7 linked regions of the Rattus norvegicus genome follow. The protein of the gene in region 6 purifies or fractionates together with the protein of the main gene of each other region. This does not show direct contact. Links are inferred from orthologs where the notes say so. Each region holds a gene or a part of one and is shown on either strand. Other genes may lie near its edges.

Region 1 (4,211 bases), on a different chromosome or scaffold from region 6:
GTCTGAGTCATCCATGCAGCTGTCTAGCTTGGACTTGAGCTTACCCATAAGCCTGGGGTGAGCCTTCCCTCACTTCCAACTGTCCCCTTCTCCCAGCTTAGATATCTAAACCTCTGGAGGAGAGGGAGGAAGAGGGAAGGAGAGAGTTGTTTTGTTCCCCCTCTCCCCTGCCTCCTCCTTGGAACTTACAACCCAGTTTGAAGAGCCTTGTGGGTGCAGTTGAGAGATCCAAGTTGAACTGTGCTAAAGATTGTCACCGGTCTCATAGTTATGCCTAACTCCAAGCCTGACCCTGAACTCTGAGCTGGAATTAAACATTAAATTGGTCACTTTTCCCCACCCCCAGCCCTGGTGGGAGGGCCCGGACAATGCCTTTCATCCTCCCCAAACTTCACTCAGGCCATTTCTCCACCTCAGTCTGAGCTCACCAGCCATACAAAGGGCAGAGCCATGAGTCTTCTGCAATGGACATAGAAGGACAGACATCCATCTAAGCTCACTTCGCCTCCACTTCACCCCACCAGCAAGGACCTAGGTGTGTATACTCACCCCAACCCCCTTCCTGGAAGCCCAGCCTCCTCGGGTAGGCTCAGTTGAGAATAGAGGCAGGTGGCTAAATATAAAAAGTCCACACATCGCCCGGCCCCTACCCCATGTGTGTACACACCACCTGGTGTCCCAGGCCTGGACAGCTGCACTGGGGGCAGAAGACACAGAGTGGCTCAGCTAGATGAACAAAAGCTCTATCTTCCACTCCCCCTGTCCCCAGATCTACTAGACAAGTTCTGCACCAGGATCTGCAAGAGCTTTGGTGGTTGACTTAAACTAGTTTAACTATAGCTTAACTAACTAGTTAACTCACTGGGACTCCTCTAACTTGCCTCATGTATTTCTTGATAAGGTATTCATATCCCTAATAGAGAAAAGACAGGTAATTCCTATTAGCTGAGAGAAAGGCTGGACCCATCTGTGCACATGACCTCCGCTCATACTTGAGAAAATGAGCTTGCCACCACCTATGGCTGGGATCTGGTAAGGAACAGAATGACCAACCACTGATAGTCAGTGGGCTCTGTCAGAAGATAATGCAAAAGGAAAAAGAGGAAGAGAAGTCTAAGCTACCAGAGCCTTAGGTATCTGCACGCATGGCCAACGCTCTTTGGCTTGGTCTACAGCATAGAAGAAAAGATCCCAGACACAGAGCCTGTGGGAGTCCCGGGAGCCAGGGCCCACACTCCCAGGCTTTGGAAAGTCCTTTTAGAAAGAAGGTGGAGTCGAGTAGGGTGGGGCAGGGTGGGGCAGGGATGGGTGAGGTGGGAGTGGCCTGAAGCTCTCTAACGGCTGGATTTCAAAAATGTCATTGTATTCCAGCAGTTTAATAAGATCAAGACATCAACAGCTTGGAGGATGGGCCAGAGTAAAGTCTGGCTTGGCTAGGAAACCGGAAGTGGCTTATTGGCTGAGGGAGGAAAGGACAGAGCTTCCAAACCTTTAAGTCACCAAACAGAGAGGGCCAGGGTTGGGGAGCCCCAGACCCAGGCATAACAGATTTTCCAGGGCCATTAGCTTCTGTGCCCAGTTTCCCTCCCCACACTCTCTTGCATTCCTAGTCGAGGCAGGCCAAGGGCTGTGGGATCTGCGGGGGAGCTTCCTCCTGTGCTTCTGGAGGGCAGAGTCTAGGAAAGGTCCCAGACATTCCCAGCTCCTAGAACCAGGAGAAGGCCTTGCGTACACAGCCATGGGAGAAAGGGGCTACGCAGCCTTGGTGACCCCTCTACAATACCACCGGACAAATGTCTGTGTGAGAGATATGTTTTAGTGGACATCATGTGTTCAGAGTCACGTTGGGCAAAATTGGCAGAGTGCCAAATCCACCAAGAAAGTTCTAATAAAACCCTTTCACCCATTCTGCTGTGTTCCGGGCCTCATTCGGGAGTTCCAAGACCTGGTAAAGCCTGTTCTGCCTTCCTCCAGCCCATCCCCCAGGCTCCAAATGGCTATAAGATCCCACCTTGACAGAGTGAGGCCCTGTAACCAAGGCTACTTGGTCTCCATGCCCCACCATTCTTTATATCCCCCCACCCTCTCACAGAGACCCTCTCCCTGCTGTGTCCTGTCATGACTATTACCCTTGGCACTGCCAGTCACCCGCGGGAGGCAGTTCCGGGGAGGGAGGGGACTAGATGGCCAGTTATGGAAGACTGCTGCTTCCCTGGTGCTGGCCGGCCAGGCCTCACTCACCGCGCCTTCAGCTCCTTGAACTCCTCACGCACTTTGCTCAGCTCCAACTGGAGGCGGGCGCGCTCCTTGGCCACAGAGTCGAGGGTCTTGCGGGCATCCCCCAGCTCGGCCTCGTAGGCCGCCTTGATGCCGGACACCTCTCGGCTGACCACCTCTTCAGACTCAGTGATGCGAAGGCGCAGCCCCGCGTTCTCCGTCTCCAGGGAGCGCACGCGATCGATGTACACGGCCAGACGGTCATTGAGCTCCTGCAGGTCCTCCTTCTCCTGCAGCCGTGTGATCCGAGTGGGCGACAGCGGGGTAGAGCTGGCCTGCGCCCCACTGCGGGTGGCGCGCCGCTGAGACGGGGTCTCCATGGCCGGCAGGGTGGCAGTGCTGCCCGCTGGGCAGGGGTCCCGAGAAGGGCGCGGGACTCGGACAGAAGGACAGAGGCTGCTCGGGGGACAGCGAGCCGGCGAAGCTCGCTCCTGGCAGGCGTGGAGATCTGGGCTGGGCGCTGGCGCACCTCGGGATCTGGGTTGGCTGGTGTTGAGGCTGAGGCAGCGTTCCCGCGAACACTGAGTCACTGACAGCCGGGCAGAGACTCTAATAGGCCCTCCTCCACAGGGGGTGGATCCACTGCTCTTAAAGGAGCCATCCTAGACCCAAAGGGGCGGAGGCAGGTATGGTGAGGAGGAGCCAGCATGCTAACCCTCAGTCTGCAGAACACCCCTTTCTGGCCTGGGGCTTCACAATGTTGGTTCCTGCCTACTCAACTCCAAGCTTTGGCCTTCTGGGGTAAAGGGCAGAGTAAAGGAATGAGAGTGGGTGGGCGAAGGGTAGTGGCGAGGGACCAGGGGAAGTAGGTGCAAAGTGAGGGAGAGAGCTAGGCATCCCCAGGGAGCCAAGGAAGCTGGGGGAGGGCTGAGGCTGCTGCCCATCAGTGACTCACCCACTTCCACCACTGGCTCCCCTTTCCTCAGTAGTAACAGTGAGTCACCTCTCCCCCACGCACAGGAGCGGCCTATCCAGGGCTGCATTTCAGTATGCCAGGAGTGGGATGGCAAAGGAACGTCTGGGTTTTTAGGTAACTAACATATTACTTTATGCCCTCAAGTTTGGGGCAAAGATCAAGGGCCTTTTTTTTTTTTTTTTTAAACCTATGCACTTCCCTTATATTTCTGGCTTTAAAACCAAACATTGGGTTTTAGATCTAAGGAATAAGCCTCAGTCCCCAAGAGAAAGCCAAGAATAGAAGCCAGAAGCTGGCCCCTCCCAATCCCCCCTCCCCTTTCATTTGGACCCAGACAGTTGGAAATGGCTGTTATAATCCCTCCCTTTCAGCCCCTTTCTTCAGTTTACTCCACCCAGCCAAGTCCAAGACTGTACTTATTTTTTTCCAGGACTGTACTTATTTTAATGGATAATTTAAAACAGATACCAGAGCTGTGCGTGCATTCAACACATGGCTAGGACACCAGGTTCCAGATTTTTGTGACTGCAAGAAGGGCCTGAAAAGAGGAATGGGGTCGGAGGGTTATTAATGCAGGGTCTCCATCTGGGTTCCATTCCTAACAGTGGGAGCACGAAGAGCAAAGCCACCCCTCCTCAGCCACTGCATGCCTTTCTAGCCAGTTATGAGTGGGCCCTGACTAGACTATCTCCCAATACAGTAACCCTGGTCCCAGGTTCTTCAGCCTCCATCAAAGACTCTTGGTCAGCTGTCTAGTCCTCTCCTGTAACCCTAGCCTAAGCTGCACTGGCCCCATCATCCCCTCCTGCAATGGAGCCTTCCCTGCTCATTCCATGGAGCACTCAGGGCACCGATTAACCTGCCAGTTCCAGAACTGGACAGGTTCTAGGTCGTGGGCTTGAGTTGGGACTCTAGGAGATTTTGTTGTTGCCATTTTGCTTTTTCAAGACGGAGTTTCTCTACGTACCCCTGGAACGCCTTTTGTAGACCAGGCCAGCCTTGAACTCAGAGATCTGCC
Region 2 (3,500 bases), on a different chromosome or scaffold from region 6:
TGTCTAAGATCAACTGACCAGTCACTGATCAACTGATCACTGTCCACACGGCTGTCTTTTGACCCAGTCTGGTCCATCCCTGAAGCCATGATGGATGCAGCACTGCTCATCTGCAAACCTGTTCACAGGTCTCTGTGCAGCCCCTGGATGCAACAGTTCCCATCTGTAAATCTGCTCTTGGACACGGGTGATACATCTGCCAACCCCTCCCAGAATGCTGTGCCTCACCAGGCCTTAAATTCCCTTCCTTCAGAATCTCAACTACAGACTACCTCCGCAAACCACACTGATGCTAAATTAAATACATTTACATGACAATTCTGCAAAATCTTTTACCCTTGGCCCATCAACCTTCAGGAAAACCTTGGACTTCCTGAACGTCTCCCTCCTCCCTGCCCACTGAAGAGAACCTCATTAGTAAGCTTGTTTGCTCCATTTTCCTAGGCCATCGGGAGGCTACAGTGGAACCAGGCACCCTGGGAAGGTTGGGTGCTCCTTCCACAATGGGTACTATCTCAAGTCCTGTAGGGATATGTGGTAGTGAAAGCGTGAGTGCCACGTCAGCCAATGGGGAGTCAAGTCTCAGCTCCTTCACTCACTGGCTAAGTGGCTCCAGGACTGTCACTGATGCTCTCTGAGCCTGTCATTTCCAATCCTGCTCTAAGGGTCAGGTAGTAAGAGATGAACAAGGTGCCCAGTCCTTGTCATGCACCTCCATCTCCCACCCAGCCAGAACAGCCAGGTGTCTCCTTTCAGTCCTACTGCAAATCTAGGTCCTCCCTGTGGCTCCAGACCACTCTAACATGTGAAGGCTTTCTTGGTGTATCTGCTGCCTATTTTCAGGACAGGAGCACAGACGCAGAGCCCAGCCTACCTTCTTTCCCGTGCCTTCGCCTGCTCTGGTGTTTCAATTTCTATCTCCACTGCCTTCACAGGCAGGTCAGACCGCGAGGTAGCAGAATTTTCTCCCATGTCCAGCACAGGCTCAGTAAGTTCTACCAACAGTAAATTTAAAGGTTAATAACACTAATTGGGGCTGGAGAGATAGCTCAGTGGTTTAGAGCCCTGACTATAGAGGACCTGGGTTCAATTCCAGGCATCCACGTGGTGAATCACAGCTATCTGTAACTCTAGACCCAGAGGATTCAACACCCTCTTCTGGCCTCCATGGGTATCATGGGTACCATGGGTATCTATACTCACGGTACAGACATATATGCAGGTAAAACACTTATACACACAAGTTAAAGTTAACAATAACGATAGTCAATATATGGAACAAAATCGGGGTTCTGCTGGACAGACAAAATCAGGAATAGATAAACACTCCAGATTGTTTATCTGACAAAACCAGATATTCTAAAATGCAAGAGGCCAGAACTTTTCAAAGCAGGCATTGCTGTAAAAAGCCAAAGAGGAAAAGACAATGCCTAGTATGGTGGCACCCATCTGTAATCCCAGCACTCAGCAATGAGACCAGAGGTCTTATGGTCTTGTGTCCCAGGTCAATAAGAGATCTCACCTAAAAAACAAAACAAAACAAAACAAGGCCTGGAGGCTGGCAAGACTGTACACAACCTGAGGAGACCTGACTTTGGGGCTGGATCCCACAAGGTGATAGAAAAGAACTCTTGGGAGTTGTCCTCTGATCAAACACACATCGTGCGCACACACACACACACACACACACACACACACACACACACATAAAACACACACACATTCACACATATACATCCATACAATAGACACACACACACTTTAAAAACAAAACCAAAAAAAAAGCAAGAAACAGGAGTTGTAGCTCTGTGGCAGAGCACCCTCCTAGCATCCCTAAAGCTATAATCCTCTGTACCACAAGTAATTAATAAAGGTAATACACGTGGTGGGAGTTAAATTAAAAGGCATTTACAAACTCAACCACCCCTGGACCTGAATTAGAAAGAAAGAAAGCAAGAGAGCTCTAAAGACTTTTTTTTAATAACTGAGGGTTGTTTTCGTGTTTGGGGTGTGATGAGGCAGCTCTGCCAGATAAGACGTCACTACCTTCTTAGTAAAGGTTTGCTCAAGTATTCAAAAGCCGAGCTTTAGGACTAAACAGAGAAAGAAACACTCAATATAAAGGACTGGGTGTCCAGACTACTCTCTCTCTTGGTAATTTGAACCTTGTCAAAATAAAAGGCTGAGGAAGCATGCCCACAGAAGGAACCATGGATTAGCATTAACTACGGCTCTTTCTCGTGGTGTAGACCTGAGGCATACAGCACTTGCAGACTTCCTCCCCAAATTCTGCAGGCTGACTAGGCACAGCTCAGTTATATGCAATTTGCATAACGCTGCCAGTGAAGAGACCTGCCTCAGGCAAGCAAAGAACTCGCTCTACAGCTATGTGAGGTGGTGCTGGGCTGGAGTTAGGACTACAGGGCTTTTCTAGGTGCACTCTTCCTCCAAACTGCTTCTGTCAAGTGCCTACTACAACTGTATCTCAAGATGGTCTGTTACAAAGAAAAACAAGATTGCAACATGTGACTTGGCTCTGAACAGCAAACAGAGAAGCAAAGTTCAGAAAAGGAGACAGGCACTTCACCTTCCACCTCCTCCCAGTCATCCTCGCTGTCATCTTCATCGGTGCCTTGGTCCACCACCTCTCTTTTGGGATGTTTCTTTGCCTTTCTGCAGTTACTCAATGAGTCCCTGTATAGGGATCAAAGACACAGAAGGCTCACTCACATGTCCTACTGTCACACTCAGGCTGGGCAGAACCTACAGGAGTCCTTCTGTTGACTGTTGCAATCACATCCATGAAATGATGGACAGCTGACTCTCACAAGTCCCAAGATTGAGGTAGGAAGAGCGCCAGTGTAAGGCTGCCCTGGTTACCAAGCAAGACAAACCCAGAACCTATTAACTCACAATCCTTGAGAAAAAGAAAAAAACAAAAAAAATAAAAACGAAGCAAAACAAAAACCTTCCTGTACCTTGAAAAGACGAAGGCAAAATTAAAACAGCCACGTGGTCCTAGGAGTCCGGGAGAACTGAGGTAGCTGGGCACACTAGCAAGTAGCTGGAGGCCAAGGAGAAGGCTCACACCAGGAGAGCTGTGAATCAACTCAGAGTGCTTTTCTCCCGTTAGAAAATGTAGCCCAAGGACACTGAAGTTGGCACACCTCACACGGGGCAAGTAAGGTGTGACCACACAAGAACCTGTAACCGGTCCAGGCTGGGTGGCTGCTCACAGAGGAAACCCCAGCAGATAAACAGCTGGGTACCCAGTGAGATGCAAGGTGAACAGCTGCCAGTGAGCTGATACGGTTCCGTAGACTCATATATAAACCCCAAAACCCCTCTACAGCTCTGGGTTACTTTGGGCCTTGTAAATAAACATTATTATAACTTGGTATTATAACTTGGAAACAGCCAAGATTTTAGCACACATTTCGGACCATCAAAGTCTTGAGCTTTAATAAAGCTCCAAAAACCCTCTGTTTTTGTTTATGTTT
Region 3 (3,500 bases), on a different chromosome or scaffold from region 6:
CAGGGCTGTACAATGAGACCCATGTCTCTGGGGGAAGGAGGACAAGGCCAGAATTACAAAGGCCAAACAGTGCAAATTACCCACACCTCTTAGTCAGCTGTGAACGTTTGTAGACCGCAGACTGTTTGCCTCCACTCTTTGAAGCTAGCTTTGGAGCCACTGAGTGAGCATGACTTCCTGTGTTGTGGAGGATGGAGAAAGATGGGGATGCCTACAAACAGCAGCAGGAGACAAGTGCTAAGCTGTCTACCAGAACTGCTTTCTGAAAGACCCCTGCGACTGTCTGCCCAGCCATATCACATGACATTCATTTGAGACAAGGTCTCACTGTGTCATCCTGGCTGGCCTAGGACTCAGAGATTGGCCTTCCTCTTTCTGAGTGCTGGATTAAAGGTGTGCACTGCCACCCCAGGCTTCATTCATTCATTTGAGAATTTCACACTCAAGTGCTGTTTATACAATTTTCATCCCAGGTTTTCCTCTCCAGCTCCTCCCATGTTCCTGCCACTCCCTCTCAACTTCTTGACTTCTTTTTTCTTTTTTTCTTTTTTTAAGACTTTATGAGTGCTCTATCTGCATGTACACCTGCACATCAGAAGAGGGCGTCAGAACTGGTTACAGATCATCAAAAGCGACCATGTAGTTGTTGGGTCAGGACCTAGGAGAGCAGCTAGTGTTAACTGTTGAGCCATCTCTCCAGCCCCGTCTTTTTATCAGTGTTTTACACGTGTACCCCTCCCCCCTCACTCACTTTCATTCTCGATCTCTCTCACCTCCACATGCATACACACACATAAATACAGCCCGTTGAGTCTACTTAATGTGGATATCTGTACATGTGTTAAAGGGGAGGGGGCTTGTCCCTGGAAGACAGCGCGCATTTATAGGACCTGGAAAGTTACTTGTTTCATAAAGATGAAATGTTCACTGTAGAGAGAATAGAACTACCAGGGTGGTTTGGAAGGTAAAACCAGTTGCTTCCAAACCTGGTGACCAGTCCCAGTTCCATTTCTGGAATCCATGTGGTGGAAGGGATATTGTTTTCTTGACCTCCTCATGCATGTGTGACACATGCCCAGCCTCGTGGGTAGGTGGGTGAGGGGTATGTGTGTTCCTTCCCTCCAGAAAGAAAATAATTCCCAAAGCAGATGGGAATAGTGTGCACTGCACTCCCAGTGTTCAGGAAGTAGAGGCAGGTAGATCGCCACAAGTCCCAGGCCAGCTAGCCAGGGCTACAACAGCAAGTTCTCAGGCTTGGGAGCAAGTGCCCTAATCCTCTCTGAACCATCTCATCTCTGGCCCCATGTTCCAGCCTTCCACTGTCAGTACAGCCTCGGGTAACCTCAAATATGCACACACACCTTAATGTGTTTGAACAGGAAAGGAGAAGCCAAGGTTCTATTACCTTCATGGCTCTAGTCTCTTTTAATCTGGGCTTGTGTGCATGACATTGACTCTTTGTGGGATGTTTCTGAGTTTGGGGTTGCTGGGTGTTTGCTCATGGGCATAGGTTTCGTGCTTTTGGCCAGAACACTTTAGAAATGAAGCTGTAACCAAGGGCCCTCCCTGGTGAGCAATTAATTGGCTGTCAGGTAGATCTGTTGTTTTCTGTGATACAACTTGATTGTTTCATTAGAGTTTGGTTTGGGTTCCTCCTCTCCATAGCTGGTTTTCCCCCCCTATTAAGAAGTGACTTTCCTCCATCTGTCCCTTTGTCTCACTATAAAATCAGTGGACTCTTTAGAGATAGGATTTCAGTGTTTAGCCCTGGAAGCTTAGTGTGTAGCCCAAGCTGGCCTTCAACTTCCTCTTACCTCTGGCTTCTGAATGCTAGAATTACACTTGTGAGCTTCTGTGGCTTCCTCTTTGTTTTTGAGATGGTGTCTTCCTTGTAGCCCCGGCTGACCAGGTCATTGCCATCCTCTGGTCTCAGCCTTCCAGGTGCTGATTATGATTGAGCGCCACCACACCCCTGTTTGGGCGTTGTACCCTTTTGTTGCTAGACTTGGTCAGTAGGTGCTATGCCCGTCCCCTTGTGGGATCCCTGTCTCCTGTTAATTGTCTTCACTGTAGGTTCATCTTACCAATTTCCCTCAGAAGCCTGAGACTTGAGTGGAGAATATTTAGAAATCAGGATTTGTTAATGAGCTTGGTTCTTGTTCCTTTGGCTTTATTTTGGGGGTACTACTAAATGAGTGCTCTGATTAATGATGGTGTTCAAGTGGCTTGGCCTTACCCCATCCCCCAACTATGAGTGTTTTATTCAGCTGAAATATGTTCTGCTTCTGTTGGTTGCTGGGTTCCTGTTTGTGTGGTGAGAAGCTGGTAACACCAAACCCACCTCAATAACCCAGGGACTCAGTACTCAGAGAGCAGCTTCACACACACCCATTAACCCACAGTCTTCTGATTCACAGTGTGCAGGTCAGTAGTGCCTTTAGACTCTGGGTTTTCTGTTTTCTCTTTCTTTTAACACAGATGAGCGACTTTATTTTCTGACTTCATCTGAACATATAGTAATCCTTTTTAAGACTCAACTATTAGGGGCTGGAGAGATGGCTCAGTGGTTAAGAGCACTGACTGCTCTTCCAAAGTCTTCAGTCTGAGTTCAATTCCCAGCAACCACATGGTGGCTCACAACCATCTGTAATGAGATCTGATGCCCTCTTCTGGTGTGTCTGAAGACAGCTACAGTGTACTCAAATCATTTTTTTTAAATTTACAGTAGTGTAGCACTGTAACACCACCAACTCCTCCATGGCTCTCCATTTCTCACACCATGTTTATCATATTTAAAAAGCTAATCTTAGGGGTTGGGGATTTAGCTCAGTGGTAGAGCGCAAGGCCCTGGGTTCGGTCCCCAGCTCCAAGGGAAAAAGAAAAAGAAAAAAAAAAAAAGCTAATCTTAGGCAGGCATTGGTGGTGCACACCTTTAATCCCAGCATTCCAGAGGCAGAGGCAGGCAGGATCTCCAGTTCAAGGCCAGCCTGGTCTACAGAGTGAGTTCCAGGACAGCCAGAGCTACACAGAGACCCTGTCCTAAGGGGTGGGGGTTGGGAGTGTAAACAAACTTAACAGCTCAGTCCCCTTCCTCTTCATTCCTGGAAGTATTTTTAACTGTGATTCTTCCTTTTTTTCTCTTTGTAGAAGAAACTGCAGAGGAAATCCGAATTGCTTAGTTGGGATTGGCGAGCACATTTGGTTAGGAGAAATAGATGAGAATAGTTTTCATAACATTGATGACCCCAACTGTGAGAGGAGGAAAAAGGTGAGTGACTGCAGTTGGCAGGACTTGGTTACTCTGGTTGTTGTTCAGTACCTTTGATCAGAAACCTGTTCACTGCACATGCACCGCAGTGGGGTGGGGCTGCATGCCATCCCTACAACTCCCTCCCCTTTTAAAAAAAGAAGAGTGAATCACCACAGCTGTCAGTGATCTCGGTGACCTGTGTAGGTGTCAGGACAGGAGACACGTGGCCACATGCATTTGAATTTCTGCT
Region 4 (2,402 bases), on a different chromosome or scaffold from region 6:
CGACTCTGAACAAGTTAGACACCTGTGTTTTCACCAGCAGAAAAGCGAAAGCTTCTTCCCTGACTCCTGAGCCAGAGAACAGTTCAATGAACAGAACAGGACTGGGTGGACTAACAGCAGGAAACGATGAGACTGCAGAGTTAAGAGTCTGTGTCCTCAAAAAGGAAAAAAAAAAAAAAAAGCCTTAAGGTTGGGGATTTAGCTCAGCGGTAGAGCGCTTGCCTAGCGAGCGCAAGGCCCTGGGTTCGGTCCCCAGCTCTGGAAAAAAAAAAGAAAAAAGAAAAAAAAAAAAAAAAGAGTCCGTGTCCTCAAAAGGGGCCAGAGCCCGCTTGGGTTTTAAAAGACTAGCCTTACAAAGAAGCAGGACAGGAGTCTGTCTTTTAGTGGCCGTATACCTTTTTGAACCTACTGCCTGCAAGGCTCGCTTAGGGCATGCCTAGTAACAGAACCACTGGTCCTTGACCAGACTTTTTAGGTTGCTCAGAGCTCCAGATGAGAACACACGATTCCAATTTGGGAAAAATTTGGTGGCTTGTAGGCCTTTAGCCAAAGAGAAGTAGATGCTGGGAACTTATTCCAGGAAACAGGGCAGTCAACTGAGGAAAGGCCTTGGTGGAGTATCCCTTTATTTCTGGCAGCTCTCCTGGTGACTGGTTTGTCTGCGTGCAAAGGAACACCCACATAGGCCTGGCCTGCCAGCCTACCAGACACCGGATCAGGCAGCCATACTCACTGAACTCAATAAGCAGCTTTCCATAGCCCCGGCGCTGATAAGGTGGCAGAGTCAAGATGCAGGCCACATTGTAATCTTCTGTGGACTCCTTTTCCTGGAAAAAGTAGGTGGGTTAAAGAAGGCCAGGCTCAGGGCAGGGCTGAGGGACAGCCTTTGTGAGTGCTGACCTTGGAGAAGTAGCCCACGATGTGGAAGCCCTTGCAGTCATACTCCGTCATTACATAGAAAAGGAAGGGGTCTGTGTCATAGTACAATGTCTTGTGGTCGAGGAAACACTTGGCCAGAAGACACAGGTTTTGTGAGTAACTCTATAAAGGAAAAGACCTCACAGTCAATACTCTGGGATACTGTTTTTAAACAGTTAATTTACTATGCCACATGTGCCTGTACACAACATGCACACGCATGGGAGTCCATTCCCCTTCCACCATAGGTTCTACAGAGTAAACTCGGGTGGCCAGGCTTGTGTGACAAGCCCTTCCATGCACTGAGCCATCTCAAGGGCTCTGAGGAGCACTTCTTCCTGCTGTTCCAGTTGAGAGGGTTGAACTTCCCGCCCAGGACCCTGGCCCATCCCACCAGTCAGATTAGCACCACTGCTTAGAAGCACTACTTAAGTGACCAGGAGCCTACAAACTAACGTCCAACTGCCTGCCCTGCCCCTGGTGAGCTGTAGAGCTTCCACATCCCCAGCAAAGCCTGCCCTGGGCCTGCATTGTCCTCTTTTCCACTTAAAGTTTCCAAGCCAGGAATGCCTGTAACCTCCACTCTTAGGAGGCAGAGGGAAATACAAGTTTGAAGTCAGTCAGCTAGGGATACATAGTGAGTTATTAAGTTTCCAAATGGACTAGTCATCAGGAGAGACATTCTACCCATGTGGCTGTAGGTGTCAGAACCTGAACGCTCTAGCTGGTGACCCTTCCTGGGAACTGGTCTGCAATTCTGTGGAGGTTTAAGGAACTGCCAGCCTTAGGGATTTTTCCCTACAACTCTGGACTGGTTGTCTTATCACATGTGACTTCTAGAAGAATTTCAGACAGCTTTGCAACTGCTGGTCATCTACTTGAACACCACACTTAATATACAACAATGTGAAACTTTGTACTTTCCTCTTGAAGAAGTAGCTCCTCTTCAAGGTGAGCTCCCAAACCAATCCAGAAATCTGCCTCTCTCTCCATCCATACCCTGGAGGCCTTAAAAAGTGTGTATTTCAAGGACCTCCATACTTGTCACTTAAAGAAACCCTAACCTGTTCCTCCCCACTGATCTTGTTCCTGACACCTGACCTTTGACCTTGCCTCACCACCTCTCCCTTTCTTTTTACTTTTTGCATGCACTGTCCTGGTACATTGGTGGCTGCATCTCTGAACCCAACTGCTTACAACTGTTTAAATATGTTCTCTTTGCTATGTCCAGGCTCACAGGTTAACCTGCAAACTGTTTCAAAACAGATCTGACTCTAGCCCTGGCTGGCCTACAACTCCCCATAGACCAGTAGAGACCTGCCTGCCTCTGCTTCCGGAGTGCTAGGAATAAAGGATGTACCAGCACACCCAACCAAAGATCCTTTTTAACTCAGCTTTAGAAAGGATCCTACTGTGTAGTTCAGACTGGCTCTGAATGTCAGCTCCTAGCATCAGCTTCCGGGATGCTGGGCCACACTGTTCTT
Region 5 (3,500 bases), about 9.2 Mb from region 6:
CCTTTGGTATTTTTCTTTTCAGGATCTTCTCTTGGAGATCTACAGAAGTATAGGAGAGCCAGACAGCCTGTATGGCTGCGGGGGAGGGAAAGTGTTACAACCCCTTACCCGGTAAGTTGCACCTTTCAGATAGTGATTCTGCCTTTCGAAGGAGCTCCATGCGCACAGAAACAAAAGATGTTTTCACCGTCATCTCTTACAGAATAAGGACGTACGAGCATGAAGCAACGTGGGAGAAAGCCTTAGTGACATACGACCTTGAGACCACCATCTCCTCCTCCACCCGCCAGTCGGGAATCATCCAGGTACACTGCCATCCGTGCCTGCTTCCGTAAAGCTGTCGTCAGTGGAGTTAGGCTGTCAGACATTAGGCCAGCACCTCAGTACACATTGGAAAGCTGCACAGGTCACTGTAGTTTGTTGATAATACTTTTATTACCCAACAGCAGAAGACACTTCTGGAGTGTGTACAGTATGCCTGCCAGGAGACACTCGTAGTGCTTCACATGGCACTAGTTTGCTTTAGAGTTGGTCCAGGAAACTGTCCTATCTTTTACTATAATAGGCTTAGGTATCTTTCCACCAAACATTAACATTCTCTGAGGAGAAATATACACGCTAAGCAATATTTTAGAGTTTTAAGTGATACTGTTAATTAAAATTTTTGAAATTAAAATTTGGGGGTGGGGGCTGGGTTTCTCGCTAGTTCAATGGTTCTCAACCTGTGGTCGCGACCCCCTTTGTGGGCTGGCTGACCTTTTCACAGAAGTCACATGCAAGATATTTAAATTACGATTCATAACAGCAGCAAAATTGCAGTTATGAAGTAGCAGTGAAAATGACTTTATGGTTCGGGGTCACCATAGCATTAAGAATTGTACTAAAGGGTCTCAGGATTAGGAAAGGCTGAGACCACTGGTCTACTCTATCCTGACGTATTTGATCATGTATTCATTTTGTGATAACTTCCTTTCAGGCCTTGCAGAACTTGGGGCTCTCCCATATTCTTTCTATCTACTTGAAAGGATTGGACCATGAAAGGAGAGAGTGGTGTGGGGAACTGCAGGAGCTTCATTACCAGGCGGCGTGGAGGAACATGCAGTGGGACCTCTGCACTTCTGCCAAGTGAGAGCAAACCAGCCTCTCCCCACTGCTTCTATCTGACCCTGAAACTGTGCATTTGGTTGTTTTCTCTATGAGTGCTGCTGGCTTTTGTTTTTTAATATATTGTACAGACACTATGGGCCGCACATATGACTAAATATTTAGTATACAATAGGCAGCTAGCACAATGAAGGTTGAATTTCATTCTTATTTTTTTCCACCAGAGAAATTCTATCCCCTGCTTCAAGTGTTTTGTAGATAGAAATTTTTAAAAATGCCTTTTCCTGTGAAAATATTGATTGTTGAATTGAGGAATCTAAAGACAAGTGTAGGCCTTCTCCCTACCACTTCTTGCTACATTGTAGTCAAAAGCATTTCTATTGGCTGGGTGATAAAATCAGTTACCTTTGTTAATGTTTTGTGGTGGTGGTTGTCGTTGCTGCTGTTAAAAAGTAGTGCTAGGCCAGGAGCAGTGGTGCACTGGGAGTCACAGGCAGGTGGATCTCTGGTTCGATGCCAGCCATGACTACATAGTGAGTACTAAGCCAGCCAGGGCTACCACAAACAGATAACCAGGCAGTTTATAAAGTACTGCCAAACCAAGTTACCCAAGAAGATAAAAGTTGTAGCCTGTATTTCAAATCATTGTATTTTTTAAATGAAAACCAAAACACCTAGACTACTAAAGGATTTAATAGTTACATAAAAAAGTCTGATAGAATGCTAAAAAATTAAGTCATTTTAATTACTTTAATGGAAAAATGTTTTCATAAATTGGAGTGTTTATCAAATTTCATGTTAGGAGTGGTATAAAAAGCGGATTTATTCATATGTAGGTGAATTTTCTGTGTTTGTTTTGAGACAGTTTCTCTGTGTAACCCTGGCTGTCCCGGAATTCGCTCTGTAGACCAGAAGATCCTACTTCTGCCTCCTGAGTGCTGGCACCAAAGGCTCGCGCCACCACCACTCAACTGCTCTCATTTTAAATATTTATTTTAAATGTAAAATTGAGAACCAACTAGAATTTCTAAGTTTTTGGTTTTTTTTTTAAAGAATTTAAATGACCTGTAAAATGCTTTCCTCTTCTCACTGCCTTTTACTGCTTTGGCTTGTTTGTTTTTTTTCTCTTTGTTTATATATATATTTTTTTTTTTTGGTTCTTTTTTGCGGAGCTGAGGACCGAACCCAGGGCCTTGCGCTTCCTAGGCAAGCGCTCTACCACTGAGCTAAATCCCCAACCCCCTTTGTTTATATTTTGAGTTAGGATTTTACCATGTGACTGTGGCTGGCCTTGAGCTCACTAAGATCCACCTCTCTCTGCCTACCAATTAAAGGCATATGCCGCTGCACCAGCTACATATTTTTCTTAATCTCTGCAAACTTTTATGAGAAATCTTAATTTTAGTTCTCAACATTGTTCTTTGAGTTAGTTATAGATGCATATCTCAGAGTTTTCCATTTTTAAATTTGTTTTTTAATCATCTCGCAGCCAAGAACTAGAAGGAACCAGTTACCACGAATCGTTGTATAATGCTCTGCAGTGCCTAAGAAACAGAGAATTCTCCACATTTTATGACAGTCTCCGACATGCCAGGTATTATAAAAAAGACAGATTGTTTTTATATTTGATGCTGTGGCTGCTATCCTCAAAATGTGAGTAGATTTAAATAAGAATTTGCGTCAGTGAAGGGATAAGACTTGGTGGCTGAGTTCAAGCGTTTCTTTGTCGTTCTTTGCTCTCAAGAAAGATTTTCTTGAGGACCTACGTCAGTTCTTCAGTCTGCGCCCTCTGGAAAAGCATGATAGTATTCTCTTTTGTACACGTGTCCTGGAAGAGTTAACCTTTGTCCTTTCTAGTTTCATGGCCTTCACTCTCTTACCATCATAGCTCTGCTTTGTAAGCTTGGTTTCTCTGAGGCATACATGGTGTAGCAATTAGCTGTAACAAGTTAAACAAACATGAATTTTTTTTAAGGTTTATTTATTTTTATATGCAGTGCTGTTTTTGCCTACGTATACGTCTGTGATCCCTTGGGACTGAAGTTACAGATAGTTGTGAGCTGCCATGTAGGTGCTAGGAATTGAACCCTGGTTAAGAGCAGCCAGTGCGCCTAACCACTGAGCCATCTCTCTACCCCCAAACATGAATATTTTAAACACTCGCCACTGACATCATAAATCCTATACATGTTGTTTGGTTATTGTTTGGTTTTAGACCCCAGAACAGGGGACTGAGGTGCATATTTTACACATCAAAGCAGACGTGGCCTCCTTGTTCTCCCAGCATCCCTCAGTCCCTGCCTGGTATACCTTGCCCCCAATCCTGAACTTTCCAGTCTAGGGGCTGGGCTGCCCTTCCCCAGAGGGTCTTCCCTATGTAATCCGGACATTTTGGT
Region 6 (3,094 bases):
CTGGGCTAGGGCTAGAGTTAGGGCAACATACTCCAAGGTAACCTCACATCTGACTATCAAATTAAGTGTTCTGATTAGGAAGAGCAGAGGCAGGGCCATGTGCTCAGAATGGTGACAATAAAGGATTGCCTTTTACTTGTTCCTCTAGGTGTAGCCACTCCTTCCTCCTTTCTTTTTAACCTTTGAGGTTCTTATTGAACCCTAGGGCATCCTTATACTTAAATGCTCTACCACTGAACTATATCCCAAGCTCGACATATTTATTTTTTTATATAGGCATTTTAGAATAGATTGAAAGGATTAGAGTGGGTACCTTTTCCAATAGGATCCCTACCCCTGCTCCCCTCAGACCCTTTCTTGTAAGAGAGGTCTGTCACATACTGAGACCAGACAGAACATATCAAATAAATATTACAGCACAAACTTGTGATAGCATAATGGATAACGGTGCTCCGTTTTCTGGCACAGGATTAAACTCTCAGAAGGTTTCATTTCTTTCATTTTAAACCCTCCCTTTTCAGCCAAGCCTTTAATCCCAGCACAAGGGAGGCAGAGGCAGGCGGATCTCTGAGTTCCGGGGCACCAAGGGCTAATCAGAGAAACCCTGTCTCATTAAAATAAAAGCCAGATGGTGGTGGTGCACGCCTTTAATCCCAGCGCTTGGGAAGCTGAGGCAGGCAGATCTCAGAATTCGCAGCCAGCCTGGTCTACAGAGAGATCCAGGACATCCAGAGTTACACAGAAAAACCCTGTCTCGAAAACCCAAAAATAATAATAAAGAACAAGCAAATAAATAAACCCTTCCCTTTGCCAGATTAGAGGAGGGAGTAGGAAGTGCCCTAACCTGGAAGGAGAAAGGTGCTTACAGTGAAGACCCTTTTCCTTTAAAACCACAGGCCGGCTCAGATTTCCCAGAAACCATAGAGGTAGCTCCAAGCTCCACCCTTCTAGTCTTCGGGTTTGTGGGCGCGCCGTAGCGTTTAAATTTCGCGCGCTCTATACTGATTGGCCATTTCCAAGGGTGATTCGCCTCTGGCTTGCAGCCACTCCGCCTTGTCTTCTTCCCCGGGTAAAAGGTTTTCAAATTGGACCAATCGCTGAGCGCGTTCTCTCGGCTATGGCGCGTCACCGAAGGGTTAATTGCAACCAACCAGAGGTGGGTATTAAAAAAAGAACCAATTAGGCGGAAGCGGGGGCGTGTCCAGAGAGTTTATAAGGGCGAGCTTGCCCGCGCGAGGCGACAGTTGACTGCGGCGGTTGGCGGTTTGTCTCCTGGCGTTTTTCTCAGCCCTTCTACCTCGCACACGATGTCGGGTCGCGGCAAGACCGGCGGCAAGGCCCGCGCCAAAGCCAAGTCGCGCTCTTCGCGCGCCGGCCTTCAGTTCCCGGTAGGCCGCGTGCACCGACTGCTGCGGAAAGGCCATTACGCCGAGCGCGTGGGCGCAGGCGCGCCCGTGTACCTGGCGGCGGTGCTCGAGTACCTCACTGCCGAGATCCTGGAGCTGGCGGGCAACGCGGCTCGGGACAACAAGAAGACGCGCATTATCCCGCGCCACCTGCAGCTGGCTATCCGCAACGACGAGGAGCTCAACAAGCTGCTGGGCGGCGTGACTATCGCGCAGGGCGGCGTCCTGCCCAACATCCAGGCCGTGCTGCTGCCCAAGAAGACCAGCGCCACCGTGGGGCCCAAGGCGCCGGCGGGCGGCAAGAAGGCCTCCCAGGCCTCTCAGGAGTACTGAGGGAGCCCGCGCCGCGGCTGCCCAGCCCTCCCCCACCTCCACAAAGGCCCTTTTAAGGGCCACCACCTCCCTCACAGAAAGAGCTGAGCCACTTCGGGCTCCGGCCCGCCGCGTCCCCATCCCATTCTCTCCTCTCAGTCCTCGCGTCTTTACCCTTCCCTGTGCGGCCTCCGGGTCTGCCACAGGACGCGGGCGCCGGGGCACCTACCCATCCCGGAGCTCGTGACATCGCTTCGCCGTTCTCAGTCGTCGACGGGCTGTGCGGAGAGGTTGCGGCACCTTCCACCTTCCAGAAATCTCGGCCCTTTGCTATGACGTACGGCCGAGGTGGGCTTGAAGGTTAGTTAACCACCACCACCACCCCCCCCCCCCGCAGCTACAACCCCAGCGTTTTCAGCTTGGTGCTTAGCCCTCTCCTGGACCTTTCAGAAGTGAGTTGATTGCCGGACTTTGGTGAGAAGCGGATCATACTGTTTCACTCTGTGTCCCCCTTACTGGCCTCTCAAACCAGTTGACCCTGTCGTCATTTGTAGGCCGGCATGTTATAACGTGAAGCCAATTTTTCCAAGATAAACTGGAAAGGGTCAGGGAACGCCTATTGGCCTGTGGACAGAAGAATTGTATACCTGCCGCAGAAGACTAGAGGAGCCGGGCCTAGCTATCCCTCTCCCTTAACTCAAACTACAACCCAAACACCCAGATACCAGCACAAGTCGGTGAATCCCTGTCTGGACTGAGCCTCTGGCTTCTGAACTGGAACTTTTGCAGCTATTACAAGTTTAGAACCTTAAGAAGTGGGGAGATTCAATGGGCTAATTTTATTAAAGGATCGTTTTTGGTTTGTTTTTTTTTTTTAAACGGAGTGTCTGATTTAATTTTGAATGCCTAACTTAACTTTGAATGCTGTAGTCCCAGGGCTGGACATTTACAGCTCCATAGTCGAGGAGCCATGTGCCCAGAACATCTCGTGGGAGGGAGTGGGACTAGAGGATAAACTTACCTTCCTTTCTGCAGGCACTGGGAATGAAAGGCTATGTGAAGATCCTGTTAACTAAAGACAGGCAGGCTGTAGGGATGAAGGCTAGTTTCTTTGCTTGGTTGAGAATGATCAGGATGTTTTACAACAGAAAGGTCCCAGACTCAGAATTCAGGTTTAAAAGGGCTTTGGGTTTATTCATATCTTCCCCCAACTCCAGGAGAACCACATTCTGAACTGATTAGTGGCATTGGTTACATTAAAAGATTGGCATGGACTTTCTCTAAAGAGATGAAGCCCACAAACTACTGAGGGAAAGGCAGTCATGGAGGCCCCAAGTTGAGGCATATCTTCCAAGGCCGAAGTCTCAACAACTCTG
Region 7 (3,500 bases), on a different chromosome or scaffold from region 6:
TACCTGCAGCTCTAGGGAATCCAGTGCCCTCTTCTGAACATCACTGGGCACCTGCATGCTCAGTGTGTGCACAACAGACCCTCACATAGATATACACATGTATTCATAATTTTACAATCTCAAATAGTTACTTTATGTGTCTACCAAGTTTGAAACAAACAGCAAAGAATACAAAGTTCCTACCTTAACAGCAGCTCCTCTGTCTTCAAAATGAACAAATGCATAATCTTTCAACTTCTTCACTCTCTCCAGTTTTCCAAATTCAGAGAATGACTTTTCTAGTATTTCTTCTGTCACTGTAGTAGCCAGGTTTCTCACAAATAAAACTTTTACCTAATAGCAAAAACACAAAATTGCTACTCTTAAGTTTTAGCTCAAATCTTAAAATACTACTTCTTGTCTTCAAAAAGTTGGCTTTTCTTCTCTAAAGCAGCAAGTCTAAAAATGTAGTCTGAGAAACATGCAATGATGAAAAGATTCTCACATCAGTCACCACTTTTCTATAGCTTTTAAAAAAAATAACCAAGTTATATAAACTATTGGCTCTTGCCTCTGTCTGTCCCAACAGAACAGCTACCACTGAACAGAACCTATCAGACAGGCACCAACATAAAAGTATCATTAATTCACAAATTTATCATGGCTCCAAAGGACCCCCCCCCCAAAACGAGTTTATCTGTTTTTACCCCTAAAACTGTGGATAGTTATGTAAAAACTATACAAGAAAAGATTTACTTGGGCTGGGAAGAAGGGCAGAAAGAAAAAAATGACAGAAACAAACTACAATGCTTAAATCATTTAGTCAGAGTGACATCAATGAAGAAAGAAGTTGGCCCATTTTCTACACTATACACCAAGATAAAGTACAAACAGATCAAAAGCGTAAAAAAGTAATGTGGGGCTGTATGTTACAGGAAAAACAAGGGTGATTTGTTTATAAAGGGTTGGTTGGTATGAGAGAAGGAGAAATGATAACAGTTATAATCTTAAAAAAAATTAAAATTTTAAAATTCGTAAATACAAATAAAGCATAGATGTGAAACAGCTCATAACTTAAAACCCAGAGTGCGAATGAAGGAATGGCACTACCTAACGAGAGCGGTGGCGTACGGCAAAACTAGCATAAACAAAGTCAGAAGGCAAGTGACAAATATGGAGAAAAAAAAAATAGCAACTTACACCAGAGAAGCATCAGAAAAATAAGAAAAAATAGGCAAAACTCATGACTACATGATTCATAAATAAATACATGTAAAGCCCTATAATTAAACACTCAACCATAAACTTAGTAATAGAAACAAACTATTAACAGCAGTGAGCAAAATACATATACTATCTCGTCAAGTATAAGGCACACCATATATAAAAAGCACGGGACTATCTTAATAACTGCATTTACCCTTTGACTACAAGTCTCTCCTAAGTGTCTGTCTACAACATAATTGCCCTGTATCAGCACACATGGTACACACTTACTTACTATACTTAGAACAGAAGATCAGAAATAACTCAATACATATATAGAGCTGAGGTTACTGTGGAGGTCAAAAACTAAGAGGAGCTGAGTTGATAGAGAGCCAGGATCAATGGGTGCTAAGAGAACACTCTTTCCAATGCTCTACATCTCTGAAGAAGAGATACAATACAGTCAACAGGTAAGTTACCAGCATGCCAATTTAACTGGCAGCATTGTGTGACTTTTCAGTGTTATAAACAATACTAAATTATCTTCCGAGAGCTGACCAAACAGAATGGTGAATAAAGGAAACACAGATAAATAAACACAAAAGGCTACCTATAGTCACTCAGAATCAAAGAATTACTTTTATTTGCCTGTACTTGTCTAAGACAACACTAAAACTGGGTACCTTACAGGAGTCGTGGCAGACATGATGGCAGGGGTAGACAGTGGAATTGTGTATACGTTTCTGTGTAATTTTTAAATCCTTGAATTAAGAAACTATTCAAGGAAAAATCAGCATACCCACTAAACATTAAACTATTGTCTCAGATAAAAAGCTTAAGATTCAGAAAGATTTGAGCCCAAGCACAGTAGCATACACCTTAGTCCTAGCACTTCTTTTGGGGAAAGTGGGGGAGCATGATGCTGAGAAAGGTAGGTGAATTTGTGAGTTTGAGGCTAGCGTGATCTACATAATGAGTTCCTATAGAACTAGGGCCACACAGAGAAACCGTGTCTCAAAAACAAAACAACACAAAAATGAGGAGGAAGAAGAGGAGGAGAAGGAAGAGGAAGAACAGGCTATCAGATGAGCCCTAGCCTCTTGACAGGCTTCTACTAGTTTGTTCACCTTTGAACAGAAAAGGAACTTCCTGGACTGAAGTGTAACTACCTCAGTGTTGAATGTTTCCTCACATATATGAGGTCACGTGAATGAGGCTGGCAGTGTGATCCACAGCACCAAAACAAGATACAAACAAGCTTGGAACTAATGTTCAACAGCGTTCTAGCGTTATGTCTCATTTGTAGAGCACAGCCTAAGCACTGCTATGTCTTGTGTTTGAACTCCAGGACTGCAAAATATAATTTAAATATTCACAAAAAGAGCATTTAGGGGCTGGAGAATGGCTCAGCGGTTAAGAGCACCGACTGCTCTTCCAGAGGTCCTGAGTTCAATTCCCAGCAACCACATGGTGGCTCACAACCACCTGTAATGAGATCAGATGCCCTCTTCTGGTGTGTCTGAAGACAGCTACAGTGTACTCATATACAATAAATAAATAAATCTTTTTTTTTTTCTTTTTTTCAGAGCTGGGGACCGAACCCAGGGCCTTGCATTTGCTAGGCAAGCGCTCTACCACTGAGCTAAATCCCCAACCCCCATAAATAAATAAATCTTAAAGAAAAAAGAATTACATAGGTTTCAGGTTCCCGTTGACTGTAAAACTGATCTAAGGTGTAACGCTGAGTACCAAGAAGAACCTTTCTAACAGACATGCTTTTATAAGAGAACAATTAATGTATCAACTTTATTCAATTCCCAAGTTTACAGAGGCCTCCTTGCCACTCTAAAATCTTGGTTTCATGGATTTTTGGGAGGGTTTCCTTTGTTTAAGACAATATCTGAGGGGGGCTGGAGAGATGGTTCAGAGGTTAAGAGCACTGACTGCTCTTCCAGAGGTCCTGAGTTCAATTCCCAGCAACCACATGGTGGCTCACAACCATCTGTAATGAGATCCGATGCCCTCTTCTGGTGTGTCTGAAGACCGTGACAGTGTCCTCATACATAAAATAAATACATTTAAAAAAAAAAAAGACAATATCTGAAAACCAGCTATGTAGCTAACAACAGCCTTAAACTTCTAATCTGACCGTCCTTACCTCCCAAGTACTATATCACCATGCCAAGTTTTATTTGGTCCTCAATGTGAGGCCCAGGGCTTCTTGTATGGTGAGCAAGAGTTCTATCAATTTAAACATTTTTAGCCAGAAAACAACAGTCACAAGATTAAAATCTTCCCAATTTCTGTCAGGTGTA

Evidence for each region.
Region 1: the proteins of H2ax (region 6) and Lmna purify together in Homo sapiens (affinity purification with mass spectrometry; 3 studies listed by BioGRID and IntAct, with this or other methods). This does not show direct contact. The link is inferred for Rattus norvegicus from reciprocal best matches to the Homo sapiens genes H2AX and LMNA.
Region 2: the proteins of H2ax (region 6) and Xpc purify together in Homo sapiens (affinity purification with mass spectrometry; 3 studies listed by BioGRID and IntAct, counting the BioPlex papers as one, with this or other methods). This does not show direct contact. The link is inferred for Rattus norvegicus from reciprocal best matches to the Homo sapiens genes H2AX and XPC.
Region 3: the proteins of H2ax (region 6) and Usp48 purify together in Homo sapiens (affinity purification with mass spectrometry; 3 studies listed by BioGRID). This does not show direct contact. The link is inferred for Rattus norvegicus from reciprocal best matches to the Homo sapiens genes H2AX and USP48.
Region 4: the proteins of H2ax (region 6) and Kat5 purify together in Homo sapiens (affinity purification with western blotting; 3 studies listed by BioGRID and IntAct, with this or other methods). This does not show direct contact. The link is inferred for Rattus norvegicus from reciprocal best matches to the Homo sapiens genes H2AX and KAT5.
Region 5: the proteins of H2ax (region 6) and Atm purify together in Homo sapiens (affinity purification with western blotting; 11 studies listed by BioGRID and IntAct, with this or other methods). This does not show direct contact. The link is inferred for Rattus norvegicus from reciprocal best matches to the Homo sapiens genes H2AX and ATM.
Region 7: the proteins of H2ax (region 6) and Hnrnpr purify together in Homo sapiens (affinity purification with mass spectrometry; 3 studies listed by BioGRID and IntAct, with this or other methods). This does not show direct contact. The link is inferred for Rattus norvegicus from reciprocal best matches to the Homo sapiens genes H2AX and HNRNPR.

Annotation. Positions count from the first base shown.
Region 1 is NC_086020.1:176,255,436-176,259,646, forward strand, and holds the start of Lmna (prelamin-A/C), read right to left. Parts: upstream 2,801-4,211; 5' UTR 2,598-2,800; coding exon 2,242-2,597; intron 1-2,241.
Region 2 is NC_086022.1:125,568,085-125,571,584, forward strand, and holds part of Xpc (DNA repair protein complementing XP-C cells), read right to left. Parts: intron 2,695-3,500; coding exon 2,588-2,694; intron 996-2,587; coding exon 875-995; intron 1-874. UniProt on the Homo sapiens protein: Involved in global genome nucleotide excision repair (GG-NER) by acting as damage sensing and DNA-binding factor component of the XPC complex. Has only a low DNA repair activity by itself which is stimulated by RAD23B and RAD23A.
Region 3 is NC_086023.1:155,090,538-155,094,037, forward strand, and holds part of Usp48 (ubiquitin carboxyl-terminal hydrolase 48), read left to right. Parts: intron 1-3,147; coding exon 3,148-3,268; intron 3,269-3,500.
Region 4 is NC_086019.1:212,326,992-212,329,393, forward strand, and holds part of Kat5 (histone acetyltransferase KAT5), read right to left. Parts: intron 1,927-2,402; coding exon of another isoform or gene 1,810-1,926; exon of another isoform or gene 1,048-1,809; intron 1,042-1,047; coding exon 901-1,041; intron 828-900; coding exon 734-827; intron 1-733. UniProt on the Homo sapiens protein: Catalytic subunit of the NuA4 histone acetyltransferase complex, a multiprotein complex involved in transcriptional activation of select genes principally by acetylation of nucleosomal histones H2A and H4.
Region 5 is NC_086026.1:62,752,130-62,755,629, reverse strand, and holds part of Atm (serine-protein kinase ATM), read left to right. Parts: intron 1-22; coding exon 23-111; intron 112-202; coding exon 203-305; intron 306-976; coding exon 977-1,125; intron 1,126-2,593; coding exon 2,594-2,698; intron 2,699-3,500.
Region 6 is NC_086026.1:53,567,479-53,570,572, forward strand, and holds H2ax (H2A.X variant histone), read left to right. Parts: upstream 1-1,239; 5' UTR 1,240-1,307; coding exon 1,308-1,739; 3' UTR 1,740-2,594; downstream 2,595-3,094. UniProt on the Homo sapiens protein: Variant histone H2A which replaces conventional H2A in a subset of nucleosomes. Nucleosomes wrap and compact DNA into chromatin, limiting DNA accessibility to the cellular machineries which require DNA as a template.
Region 7 is NC_086023.1:153,850,519-153,854,018, reverse strand, and holds part of Hnrnpr (heterogeneous nuclear ribonucleoprotein R), read right to left. Parts: intron 334-3,500; coding exon 184-333; intron 1-183. UniProt on the Homo sapiens protein: Component of ribonucleosomes, which are complexes of at least 20 other different heterogeneous nuclear ribonucleoproteins (hnRNP). hnRNP play an important role in processing of precursor mRNA in the nucleus.